Linked DNA regions of Canis lupus familiaris. The protein of the gene in region 2 interacts with the protein of the main gene of each other region in a biochemical or structural test. Links are inferred from orthologs where the notes say so. Each region holds a gene or a part of one and is shown on either strand. Other genes may lie near its edges.

Region 1 (4,045 bases), on a different chromosome or scaffold from region 2:
GAGCATCTCTTAGAGCCAATGGGTTCCACACCTACGGATGACCTCCTGGATGACTGGTTCCAGGCCCTGGAACCATCAGTGAATCTGAATGAAGACCAGAAGGGAGCCCAGGTAGTATCCTTTTCTAAAACCCATTGGAGCAGGGTTAGAGTAGGGTCTGGCCCACAAGGTAACAATTAGGATGGGATTCAAGGTAGTAGTCGAAAAACAAAAGAAGAAAAATTGGGCAGCAAGAAAAAATAGGACATGAATTAAAATATCTAAGAAAAAGGTGGCATAAGGACATTTAATTGTAGTTAACAATGGTGGGAAATTGGGCTGCATTGGGGGTTATTTTATACTTGATGAAAGGAGTACAATATTTCTTGGAATTGAGGCCTTGAAACCTGATATGGCTTTTTTAATGTCTCCTTTTATTTCAATATTTTGCAAATGAGCCAATGCTAACTTTACTTCTTATTCTCAGTCACTGAACTTTAATAAAGTATGGTTGATAATAAAAACAAGGATTACCAAGTGGAATGAAGACCAAGGGCTTTAGAGCCTCAGGACTGCTTTATAATATTACCTTTGTCCACCACATGGACAATCACTTCATCTCTCCAACCATTTCAACTGTCAAATAGGGAGATTTGTCTCATTTGATGATTCTAAGCAAAAAATAAGAATACATATTAAAGTATGTAGCACGGTGCCTGGCACATAATAAGTGCTCCACAACAGCAATTATTGGAAACTAGGTCTCCCCACTTCATGGCCCCTGTCCCCTCTTTTGCCAAGGAGAAATGTGCAAGGAAAGGAAATGTGCAGTGCATCTTCCTTCCACCCCCATTTTCTTCATAAGTAGCTCACTCTGCCTCTACTCTTCTTTTTCAGTTTGCAGACTTGGTACCTCCTGCCTACTCCTTTCCCTGGCTCTATGAGGAAGAACACCACTGGTTCTACTTTCTAGCTGATCACAGTTACATACCTGTCCCAGATTTGAATGAGGCACAAAATATTTAGAGAAAGCATATGTCTTTCAAGGGACGTGTTGCTAAGTGTAACAGTAAAGATTACCTGCATTACTGCTACTTCCCAATGGATTAAAAAAAAAAAAATCTAAAACTGCCCTACAAAGAGATCACAACACGAAAGCATTGTTTAAAACTTCTTTTTCCATTTCTGCCTGCTTTTCTAAACCTTCTTTGATAGCTGAGCCTCAAATTTACATAAGAGCCAGTAACCATTTTGCTGTTCCCCAACCTCCTCCCTACTAACGTCTACATTCAGGCTTCTCAAAAAAGACTTAAACTTTGGCTGAGGTGGGAGGTGATGGTAGTGGTGGAAATTTAATAAAGGGTGGCATCCTCTTCCTGAAGAGGAAATACAAAGCTATCAACATCTTTTACCCAGCTGCCTGTTTCCTTCCTCCCTCCCTTTCTGTCTTAAGGAAAGTGGTCCAGCTGTAACCACCATACTCCCCCCCCTCCCCCGCCCACCCCCGCAAGCAACTGAACCGCCTATGATGTCATAATCACAACCCCATTACCTCATCCTGCTGGGGGGTGGGGGTGCGTAGAGGAAGGAGGAGGAGTGAGCAGCCCTGGGCCCTTTTCAGCTTTACAAAGTGTTTTGGGTGAGGGCTAATTACAGAATCAATTGGGAACGGCCCCGCAACCGTTACAAGTCCTGGGTTTATAAGGTTGGAGGGTATCCGGCAGCTGGAAGAGGGGCTCCCGGGACTCAGAGCAGGCCCTGATCGGCTCTTGGACTACATTTCCCAGAAGTCTTCACGCCGCGGGCCGGTCCTCTGCTGGCGGAAGGGGGATTCCTTCTGAGAGGTGCCCGTAGAGGGCGGGAGGAGAGAGCAGGTAAGAGCAACTCTGGCTATTTCTGTTACGCGGCCCGAACCGGGTAGGGGGCCGTACTAGGGCCAATGTTGGAATGGAGGGCGAGGAGAATCGCTTTGTTTACCTTCGTCCGACACGGTCTCCCCCGCGGGTTTGGAGCTGTGCCGCCAACTGGGTCCGTCCACCTTCAGCAATATTTTGGAGGGGGTGACTCGATAGTGAAGAAGCCACCTTCATCCCTAAATCAAAGAGCTTGGCTCATTCCCGACAGCACTTTCCAAAAAAGATTTTGGGAGAGAAGCGACGCGGGGTTCGAGCCTCCCCGGGCGGTTCAGGGCGATTCTGCGAACCAGAGCGATTCCCCCACTCTCCTTCGGGGCCCGTTGGTTCGCGCCGGCGCCTTTTAAGGGCACCGTGGGGCGAACGGAGCGCTCAGAGCTGCTCCGGCCGCGGCCCAGGGAGCTGGAGGAGCCGCGGTAGGTGGCGAGGGCAGGTGGCGCTGGGGCCTCGGGGCGGGCACCTCGACTGTCCCTCCCTCCTTCCCTCTTTCCCTTCCCCCAGCCCGGCGGCGCGCGCGGCACGGCCTCTCTGGACGCCTCCACGGGGAGAGCACGGGACCCGGTGGGGGAGGGGTTGGTGGAGTGCTAAGTCCCAGACCCTTTCCATCTCCTGCGTCCTGAGTTCGCTTCCCGCGGCCAGATGATGGAAGCTGATTGGGAAGAGGCGAAAGACAGCCCCCCTGAGCGAGCCCTGGTGCCCCCCTAGGGGCTAGCGGACGCCCCATGCCCCACCCCGCGGGGACAGGCAGGGCAACCGAGGGAGAGGTTGAAGACTGGAGGGGGGCCTAGCCTTTTGCTTCTTCATCGGGGTGGGGGGAGGGGTGCTCCCCACTTGTCACCCCTATCCCCGCCAGAGCCATATGGAGGAAGAGCAGTCAGTTCCCCACTTACCTGTTCATGTACCTCCCTGCCTCCCTCATGTTTTTCTTTAGTGTCCCCCAGAGGTGTGGGGCTGGGACCTGGGGGGAGGGTCCCCAGGGGATTTGTGACTCTCCTCCCTCTTGGCTTGATTTGATCCTGGGTTCTCCAGGTTTCAGCACAACCTTAGCATCCCTGAAACCCCAACGTCAGGGGTTACTACCATCCAATAGTAGATGGGGTGGGGGTCCAGTCTTTATTTTAGGGGGCTGTTGGTGGAGGGAAAGCCTGGATTGAGAGTTGGGCCTGGTGGGGTCGTAGGGAGGGCCTAGCGGCCTGCTGCTCTGTGAAGGGCTGAGCCCTGTGCCAGTTGTTAAGCTGAGAAGTTTTAACTTGTTTAGTGAACATTCAGGGCTGTCTCTGCCCCTCAGATACACAAAATGGAAGGGGAAGGAAGGCGGCAAGAGAGGGTTTCTTACACTTTTTTCTATGCCTGCCTGAGAAAGAGGAGGCCCCTCGCGGAGCTGGTTTGCCTTCTTTTGTGTCCTGGTTTGATTCCTTATGGCTTCCGTTCTGTTCCCCCTCTCAGCCTGGCCTGTTTTAGGAAACTCAGGCTGAGAGTATCAGTTGCGTGGTGGTAGTTGCATTGTTCCAATTACCGCCGTGTGTGGCCACATCCCAACAATTAAAATGCAGAAAAACACAAAATCACTCTCTTCACTTGATCCCAGAGAGGGCTGGGAGTTTGCTGTTTGGCCAAATGCCTCATGAAAAGCTTGAAAGACTTTGCTTCACTCCCTGCTCTTCATGGCTGGTGAGCCTGAGGCCTGGGATCTCTGGGGTAAAAGCCTGCAGTTAGGGTCCCTCTCTAGTTGATCTTTTGGGGGCAGAGTTAAGAAACCAAGAGCAATGTGATATAAGCTTTAGCTTTTCCCACAAGATCATAGGGGAAGCCGCTGAAGGGAGCTCTCAGGAAGCTAGAACTTCTTTGAGGGTGGTAATAATAATTATGCATGAAAATGATAGTTAACTGTAATGATGGTTGATTTCTCCCACAGCTTCCAAAAAACTGCAGATACATCAACACGTAGTTCTTTGCTTTTCTTTACTTACTTCTCTCCAAGGTGGAACGGGGTAGAGATGATTCCCTCTTTTTGCAAAAGTAGAAAGTACTCTACCTCCAAGGTCACAGAAGAGCTGTTTGGGGCTTCCCTGGGTGTTCAGGTGAGGGAGGTTGGCATCCAGCCAAATAGATAAACCCAATTGTCCTCTTCAGATTAATGATATTATCACATG
Region 2 (3,500 bases):
CAGCCCCCACCCCCACCCCACCCAGTCCTCTCACTCTGTATTCAGAGCTCTCAGAGAACACCAGGAATGACCACAATGCCCCCATCTCTCCTTGCTCACACATCACCACCTCTTCAACGCTCCCTGTCCCCTCCCTCGTTGCTGGACTCAAGTTCAAACTAATTAAATCTGAACTTCTACCTAGTTCTGAAATGCTCAGGATGCTCAGCCAACTCTCCCCGAGACCCATGGATGGACAGGGAGAGTTTCTCAGCCAGCATCAGGCTCCTCGGAACTGCAGGCTTGGCAGAAACAAAGCTTGACAGCAAGCAACAAGCGGAGGCTGGCTTTTATGTTGCAACAATATTATTCCTTTGACATTCTAAGACAACAAAATTGTTACATAACCTGACATTTAGTTTTATTTTCTACTTCTCCTTTTGAGAATTACAAAGTTATACTTTTAAATTCTAAAACACAAAGTAACTACTTAGGCTCTTACTCAAAGGAGACTTTGTAACTGAAAAGTTACTTATTATTTTGTCCACTAGTAGGTACCAGGCACTTGCTCAGGTTACACTTTCTCTCACAAAACCCCTTTAAGGTAGGGGTTTACTGTACCCCCTTTACATTCAAAGCAAGTTACTTAACCTCAGAGAGGTTAAGTAACTTGCTTAAGGTCACATAGCTAAGAAGTAGCAGACCCAAAATATGAGCCTCAGCCAGCCTGGTCCTGGAGCCCATGTTCTTAACTTTCTTTGCCCCTCAAGAGGTGCAAAACAAACAACAGAAAATAAAAATTAACAGGAGGAACACAACAGAATGTAAAAAGAAATTTCCACCACAGTACACACACTTTTTAGCAAACCACAAATTCTTAACCCTTTCATATCCATACCCTTTTCTGAGACCTCTGCCCAGACTTCAGGAATGAAGTTGAATTTTCCACTGGTGATCTGATCCTTCAAGGGCACTTGAGTCTTATGCTCAGAGAAAGGTGGGTACCCACTAAGGCTTAATATTGGTAAAGAGAAAAAGGAAAAGAAATCAAGTTATATTCTCAGTGGCATTCAGACATCTAGATTTTTCTTTAAATCAATGGTCAAAAAAAGTCACTCAAATTAAATACAAACTCTCTACCTGGACACGTTTTTGATTTCACCTAATTACCTACAACCAGACACTGAAGCAATGAAACTTTTCTTACCAAATAAAAAGAATAACTCCTAAACTCCAGCAATCCACCGCTCGGTTATATCCAGCAGTCCCAAAGGAATTAAGAACCTCAGGAGCCAGGTAGGTGGGAGTACCACATAAGGTTCTCATGAGAGAGGTCTCCCCCAAAATCTTAGACTGCCCAAAATCAGTAATCTAAAATTAAGGACAAAAGGGTACCATTTTTAATGGTGTCATAAAATAAAAAAGATTAACATAGTCTGCCAATCCTAAAGGGCATGTGGGCTAGATCAGTTCATATCCTATATGGTTCATGCCTACTATTAATCTGGAATCTATAACTTTAACACTGCAAATTAAATTTAATTTTGCTTAAATTAAAATTTCCAACCCAAGGAAGCACAAGGTTTTTTCTACAACTTATCTGTGGCTCTCCGTAACCTTACAAAAGGTTTATCCCTTATCTAACCCAGACCCCAGGGCACTAATTAGTTACCCACAGTTTTCCTTAGACCCTAGTTTCTCAACCAATCTCAACACTGGAATTCCTGAGGTGCTTGGACAAAATACTCACACCTGGGTGCCACCTTCAGCAATTCTGAGATGCAGCCTAGGTGTCATGACTTTTTTTTTTTTTTTTTTTTTAATTAATAGGAAATTCTATAGTGAAACCAAGCTTGGGAAGCATGTTGCCCTAGAAAGCAGGGGAAGAGAGTGGATAGGATTGTGTCATCCATCTAGACACCTCTTTCCTCTCTGAATAAAAGTGGTTTGTATACAGTGGAGTTCAATAAATACTCATTAGAATCTGGACCAGAGCAATACCGCCTAATCGCTAAAATGATTGCTAATAGTGGAATGGTCAAATTCTGTACCTTTTTATGTTCCCACTTTTTACTTGATAAATTTTATAAGTCTATGAACAAAAATCTACTGGAGTGGCCACATACAGAACATAAATATCTTACCTTTATAAGACAGTCCTCTTTTTGAGATGAGAGTAGAACATTCTCTGGCTTTAAGTCCCGATGTATAATGCCATTTTCATGAAGGTACTACACAGAAATGGAGGCATGACTTGGATTTACAGAGTAGGTATGTGAGTGAAGACACACAGAAAGACAAACACACATGCGCGCGCGCGCATACACACACACACATACCTTTACAGCTCAGTGAAATCATAAGCCAGGTTACTTACAATCATGTTCCCCCAAATCATAGAAAACAACTGGGTAAACGGCGTAATGTTTACAAATTTATTTTCTAGGTTTGTTTTTTATTTTTTAAAATATTTTATTTATTCATGAGAGACAGACACACACACAGGCAGAGGGAGAAGCAGGCTTCCCATGGGGAGCCAGATGTGGTACTTGATCCCAGGACCCCAGGATCACGACCTGAGCCAAAGGCAGATACTCAACCACTGAGCCACCCAGGCACCCCTGGGTTTGTCTGGTTGGTTTTGTTTGTTTGTTTGTTTTTTAAGATTTTTATTTATTTCTTCATGAGAGAGAGAGAGAGAGAGAGGCAGAGACACAGGCAGAGGGAGAAGCAGGCTCCATGCAGGGAGCCCGACATGGGACTCAATCCCAGGTCTCCAGGATCATGCCCTGGGCTGAAGGCAGGCGCCAAACCACTGAGCCACCCAGGGATCCCTGTCTGGTTTGTTTTGTTTTTTTCCTGTCTGGGTTTTTTTTTTTTTTTTTTTTTTTAAAGATTATATTTATTCATTTGAGAGAAAGAGAGAGTACTCACAAGAGAGAAGAGAGATCACAAGCAAGGGGAAGGGCAGAGGGAGAGAAAGCAGACTCCCTGCTGAGGCAGGGCACCCCGTGAAGGCCTTGATCCCAGGACCCAATGATCATAACCTGAACCAAAAGCAGATGCTTAACTGACTGAGCCACCCACGTGCCCCACAAATTTGTTTTCAAGAAAATCTTTAGGGGCACCTGGCTGGCTCAGTCAGTACAGCATTCAACTCTTGATCAGAAAAAGTGAAAAATGCCACTTATGACAGTAGACCGTTTATTTCACTCTTCAAAATAATAAATATCCCGGGATCCCTGGGTGGCGCAGCGGTTTGGCGCCTGCCTTTGGCCCAGGGCGCGATCCTGGAGACCCGGGATCGAATCCCACGTCGGGTTCCCGGTGCATGGAGCCTGCTTCTCCCTCTGCCTGTGTCTCTGCCTCTCTCTCTCTCTCTCTCACTGTGTGCCTATCATAAAAAATAATAATAATAATAATAATAAATATCCCTTCACACTGCCAGAAATACAAGGTATCAGTTTCAATAAAAATGTAAATGAGTGATAAAAGTATATTGAGATCTTATTAAAATAAGC
Region 3 (4,220 bases), on a different chromosome or scaffold from region 2:
AACTCGCCTCCTCGCCCTCCCCGGGGCCCCGTCGCCCATTAACCCCACCGCCCGCTTCCCCAACCTGACTTCTGCTCCACCCATCTTAGTGATGCAACACACCTGGCGCTCTTTCCCGCCCTAGACCTCAGACAGACCCCATCAGTCGCTTCAGTCCCTCATTGGCCAGCGGGGAGCACAGGGGAAGGGAAAGGGCCTTCCATTTTGCTCTCTGAAACTACCCACTCCGGTTCCCTGGTCTTCTCATAGGCCGTCGGGAGAGCAATGAGAGCCCGGAGCTGCCGCGCACGCGCGCGGAGGAGCCCGCCGGAGGCGGGGCACTTCCCCTTTCTAGCAGGAGCATTCATCGCGCTGTTGTGACGTAGCGGCGCGCCGCTCGCCGTCCTCACTTACGATTGGCTGTGGCAGAAGCCCGTCACACAGCCACGCCCCACTCCTCAGCCTAACCTCCCCCTTCGGAGCCCGCCCGGGAGGCCACGCCCCACCCCGGTCCCGCCGCTTAGGCCTGCGATTGGCTGAGGGAACCGGCATGGTTACCCGCCTCCTACTCCCTCCCCGAACGTCCGAGGCCGGCGGGACCCCGCGGAAGGGGTCCGTCAATCTCCTCCTTCCCCACCCCTCGCCAGCCCCTCCCCCGGCCGCGCGCACACGCACACGCACACGCACACGCGCACACTCTGCCCGCGTCCTGCCCCCTCCCCCCGCCCCTGCGTGCGCCCTCCGCCTTCTCGAGTCGTTAGCGGCCGCTCGCCGGGGCTTGTCCGTGGGCGGCGGAAGGGCGCGCGGGGGAGGGCGCTCGGACCGCGCGGCGCCGCGAGGAGCGAGCGTGCGCGCCCAGAGCCCCGCGGCGGGTCACCGCCCCGGGAGATGAGGGTCCGGCGCTGACGGGGAAGAGCGGGCACCGCGGCGGCGGCGGCTCGGAGGGGCCCCGCGATGGCAGCGCCTCGGGAGGAGGCTGCGGGCAGGGCGGGCAGCGCGGGCAGCGCGGGCAGCGGCCGCTGAGGGGCCGCCGGCCGCAGCGCGGGGCTGAGGAGGAGCGAGGCGCGCGCGGCGTCCGCACCCCCGCGCCGTCGCCGCAGTTGTCCAAACTTCGGGCTCTCTTCCACCCGCTCTCCGCGCCCGGAGTCAACAACTTCTTCACCCCCCTCCGTCCCCGCCCTCGCCTCCGTCAGCCCCGGGAGGCGGCGGCCGCGCGGCGGGGACCAGGAACCGCCGGCCCTGAGATGTGGCCGTGAGGCGGCGGCGGCGGCGGGCGGGCGGCGCGGAGAAGCTCGGCGGCGCCCGGGAGCCGGAGGGCGGCGCGGCCGCGGGGACGGGGACGGGGCGGAGGGGCGCGAGCTCCCCGCGCCTCTCCCCCCGCCTCCTCCTCCTCCTCCTGCCGCTGCCCGTTCCCTGCACGCAGCAGCCGGAGCTGCCAGGCGCCAGGGCCGCGGCGATGTCGTCGTCGTCGTCGTCGCCGCCGCCGCCGCCGCCGCCGGCGGGGGCTGCCGGCGCCGCCATCTCGGCCTCGGAGAAAGTGGACGGCTTCACCCGGAAATCGGTGCGCAAGGCGCAGAGGCAGAAGCGCTCGCAGGGCTCGTCGCAGTTCCGCAGCCAGGGCAGCCAGGCGGAGCTGCACCCCCTGCCCCAGCTCAAAGGTAACCTCCGAGGGGGCCGCCCCGGGGCGGGGGGAGCGGGAGTCGCGTCCCTCGCGTTGCCTCCCGGCGCCCGCGCCCGCGCCCGCATCCAACAGGTTTGCTCTGCAGAGTTTGCTGCAGATGCCAGCCCCCTGCCCACCTGCGCGCTCGCTCACCTGCGCCCGCGCCTGCAGCTCTGCGGCTCAGCCCCCGCCGGGCGGCTCTTCGCGCCGGCCCGGGGCGCGCGGCGCGGGGGGTGGGGGTGGGGGTGGGGGTGGGGGCTCCTCCAGCCTGCCCTGCCCTGCCCTGCCCTGCCCTGCCCTGCCCTCCGAGACCCTCCTCCGCTCTTCCGACGCTTGGCACTGCCCCTTTACTGCTTCAGTCGGCCGGGCGTCTGCGCGCACCCTCGCCTCCCCTTGCCCGCGGAGGGAGCGACCCCAGTTGTCACAGCGAGCGGGCCCTCGGTGGCCGTCCTGCCGCAGACCGCGACGGGGAGTCGGCTGCCCGGCACACCCGCTCCTGAAGAACGGGCGTGAAAACCCCACTCGTTCGTGCAGCGCCTTATTTGCTGGGTCGTTTAGGTTCACGTGGTATCGTTAACTCCGAGAGTGGAAAGACTCCGAATACTTCGTTGCCGGGGAAGATATAGACATAGATACACACACGTACACGGTAAAGTTGGGGAAGTTGCAAAAGAGTCCATAAATCCAGTCGCTTTGCAGCGGATTGGGAACTTGGTTCGCGAAGCAGGGATTCCAGGGGACCGCGTAGGTCTGGACAGTGATTCAGATTCGTGCCCGCGCGCAGGGCTTTGCAGGAGAGCTTGGCGCTCCTCGGCGCGCGCGTACTTTTCCCACAAGGGCTCAGGGGACTTTTAATAAAATGTTTCCCGGTGGTCTGGTTTATTCTTGGTGCGTTATTCTCTTTACATTTTGTAGTGTTCGTGTCTTCGCTTCTCTGTGAGAGAGAGAAATTCGCTCGGAACGAGAGGATAACCCTCCTAGATATTTCAGACAACTCTTAGCACAAAAGAAACCTGATAGAAATCTAGATCCTCTGTTTTGCGAGGCCTGGAAATTAAAGGCTCATGCTAAAATAGAATCGGCGGTGAGATTTTTCGATCCGTTTCGCCTCCTTCAAGGATAATCTGGTTCTGATTTGTCTTTGGACCTCGCCTGAGTCTGGCTAGGAGTCTAAAGAAAACCCCAGATCGAATCACAGTTGACCTGCGATAGATCTGGAACCCCGTTCAGACCCTATACTGCCCTGTCTTTTGGGGGTGCTTCTAAATCAGGGACCTCCACAGCCAGAATCCAACTAGCTTTTGAAAGGTTTTATTGAAGAAACGTGTAGCGTAACGTGTGTGGCTGCATTTATCGTTTGCCATGCAGCATGCAAAAATGGTTAAAATTTACATATCATAGTCCTTGGTAAACCACAGTGGTAGGCATTGCCAAGATTTTAATTCTTGAGTGATATCATAGCTATAAAAGAATATCGTCTTACCTGTTAGGACATTGGATTGCTATTCATGGATTTCAGTTGTAAACTTAATTAAAACGTTTTTAAGTCATTGATTTTTTCCCATTAAATTGTGGAATTTCTCATAATCGGAAGTTTGCTGCTAGTGTTTTTCATATTTATTAAATTTGCTTTTTTAGTAAGGTATTGTGGGTCCTTACTATTGTCCTTATTAATGCATTTACTTTTATTTAATAAAAATAGTTGCATATTAAACATGGTTAGGAGATGGAGTTTTAATGCAGTTTTTAAAAGCTTGACAAAAATATGCAGAGCCAGTAATCCTTTTAAATTATATGGTGCATAGTTCAACAAGTTGAAGGTGCCATTGAGTTTTTGTTTTTTTTTGTTTTTTTTTTTTTTTACAGTATTTGGTCACTAGTGGAGAAAAAATAAAATTGGAACTTTAGATTAATTCTGCATATTTAACATGAAAATACAGTGTTCTTTAAAAGGAAAGTTCAGGTATTCGAGGTAAATTTATGCAAATATAATTGTGGAAATAAGACCCTTACTGGGATTACCCACTAATAAGAGCTACTTATACTCCAAATGCCAAAAGGCTTGAAAAGTGCTTTTAAAAAAAAAAAATCCAGTTTCTTCACATGGTACTTGGCAGTGTGCTTGATACCACAAAGTTGTGTGCTTTTTTCTGTCTGTAGTAGTTTTTTCCATTTGTGGTCTTAACAAAAACCAGTGGAAAACCCTTTAGTATGTGTATGAAAGAGAATTTTTCTTCCTGCTCTGAAATATAATCTTCCTGTGGAGAGATTCAGATATTTGTGGGCAACCAAGATCTTTCAAGTGTTTATACTAACCTGCTTATGTTACACTTTGTCCACATGGATCTAAGCTGGAAAGGTGCCAGCTATTTTCCTCAAAGCTTACTATGGGTAAGGATTAACAAAATAATCCAACTTTTTCATCTATAAGAAGTTTATTTGTGCAAAATCATTTACCAAGTAGGTTGCAGGATTTTAATAGGGAAAATGTTCAGAGAAAACTATTTTGTTATAGAAAGTTTTTAATAAAAAAGCCTTGTTAAAAGGATTTTTTAAAAAATTAGGACCTGCCATGTGGGTC

What was found.
Region 1: of the proteins of CHEK2 (region 2) and CDC25C, one has a biochemical effect on the other in vitro, tested with the Homo sapiens proteins (14 studies listed by BioGRID). The link is inferred for Canis lupus familiaris from reciprocal best matches to the Homo sapiens genes CHEK2 and CDC25C.
Region 3: the proteins of CHEK2 (region 2) and PPP2R5A form a complex in vitro, tested with the Homo sapiens proteins (2 studies listed by BioGRID and IntAct, with this or other methods). The link is inferred for Canis lupus familiaris from reciprocal best matches to the Homo sapiens genes CHEK2 and PPP2R5A.

Annotation. Positions count from the first base shown.
Region 1 is NC_049232.1:25,988,832-25,992,876, forward strand, and holds the start of CDC25C (M-phase inducer phosphatase 3), read right to left. Parts: upstream 2,801-4,045; 5' UTR 2,783-2,800; intron 2,309-2,782; exon of another isoform or gene 2,072-2,308; 5' UTR 1,957-2,071; intron 1,854-1,956; exon of another isoform or gene 1,532-1,853; intron 1,085-1,531; exon of another isoform or gene 1,006-1,084; coding exon of another isoform or gene 877-1,005; intron 651-876; 5' UTR 569-650; intron 112-568; coding exon of another isoform or gene 1-111. Other genes in the region: SLBP2 (uncharacterized LOC474694), read left to right, coding at 1-111, 877-1,005. UniProt on the Homo sapiens protein: Functions as a dosage-dependent inducer in mitotic control. Tyrosine protein phosphatase required for progression of the cell cycle. When phosphorylated, highly effective in activating G2 cells into prophase.
Region 2 is NC_049247.1:22,471,483-22,474,982, forward strand, and holds part of CHEK2 (serine/threonine-protein kinase Chk2), read right to left. Parts: intron 2,211-3,500; coding exon 2,124-2,210; intron 1,351-2,123; coding exon 1,187-1,350; intron 994-1,186; coding exon 878-993; intron 1-877. UniProt on the Homo sapiens protein: Serine/threonine-protein kinase which is required for checkpoint-mediated cell cycle arrest, activation of DNA repair and apoptosis in response to the presence of DNA double-strand breaks.
Region 3 is NC_049228.1:10,355,155-10,359,374, forward strand, and holds the start of PPP2R5A (serine/threonine-protein phosphatase 2A 56 kDa regulatory subunit alpha isoform), read left to right. Parts: upstream 1-1,420; 5' UTR 1,421-1,435; coding exon 1,436-1,637; intron 1,638-1,792; exon of another isoform or gene 1,793-1,864; intron 1,865-4,220. UniProt on the Homo sapiens protein: The B regulatory subunit might modulate substrate selectivity and catalytic activity, and might also direct the localization of the catalytic enzyme to a particular subcellular compartment.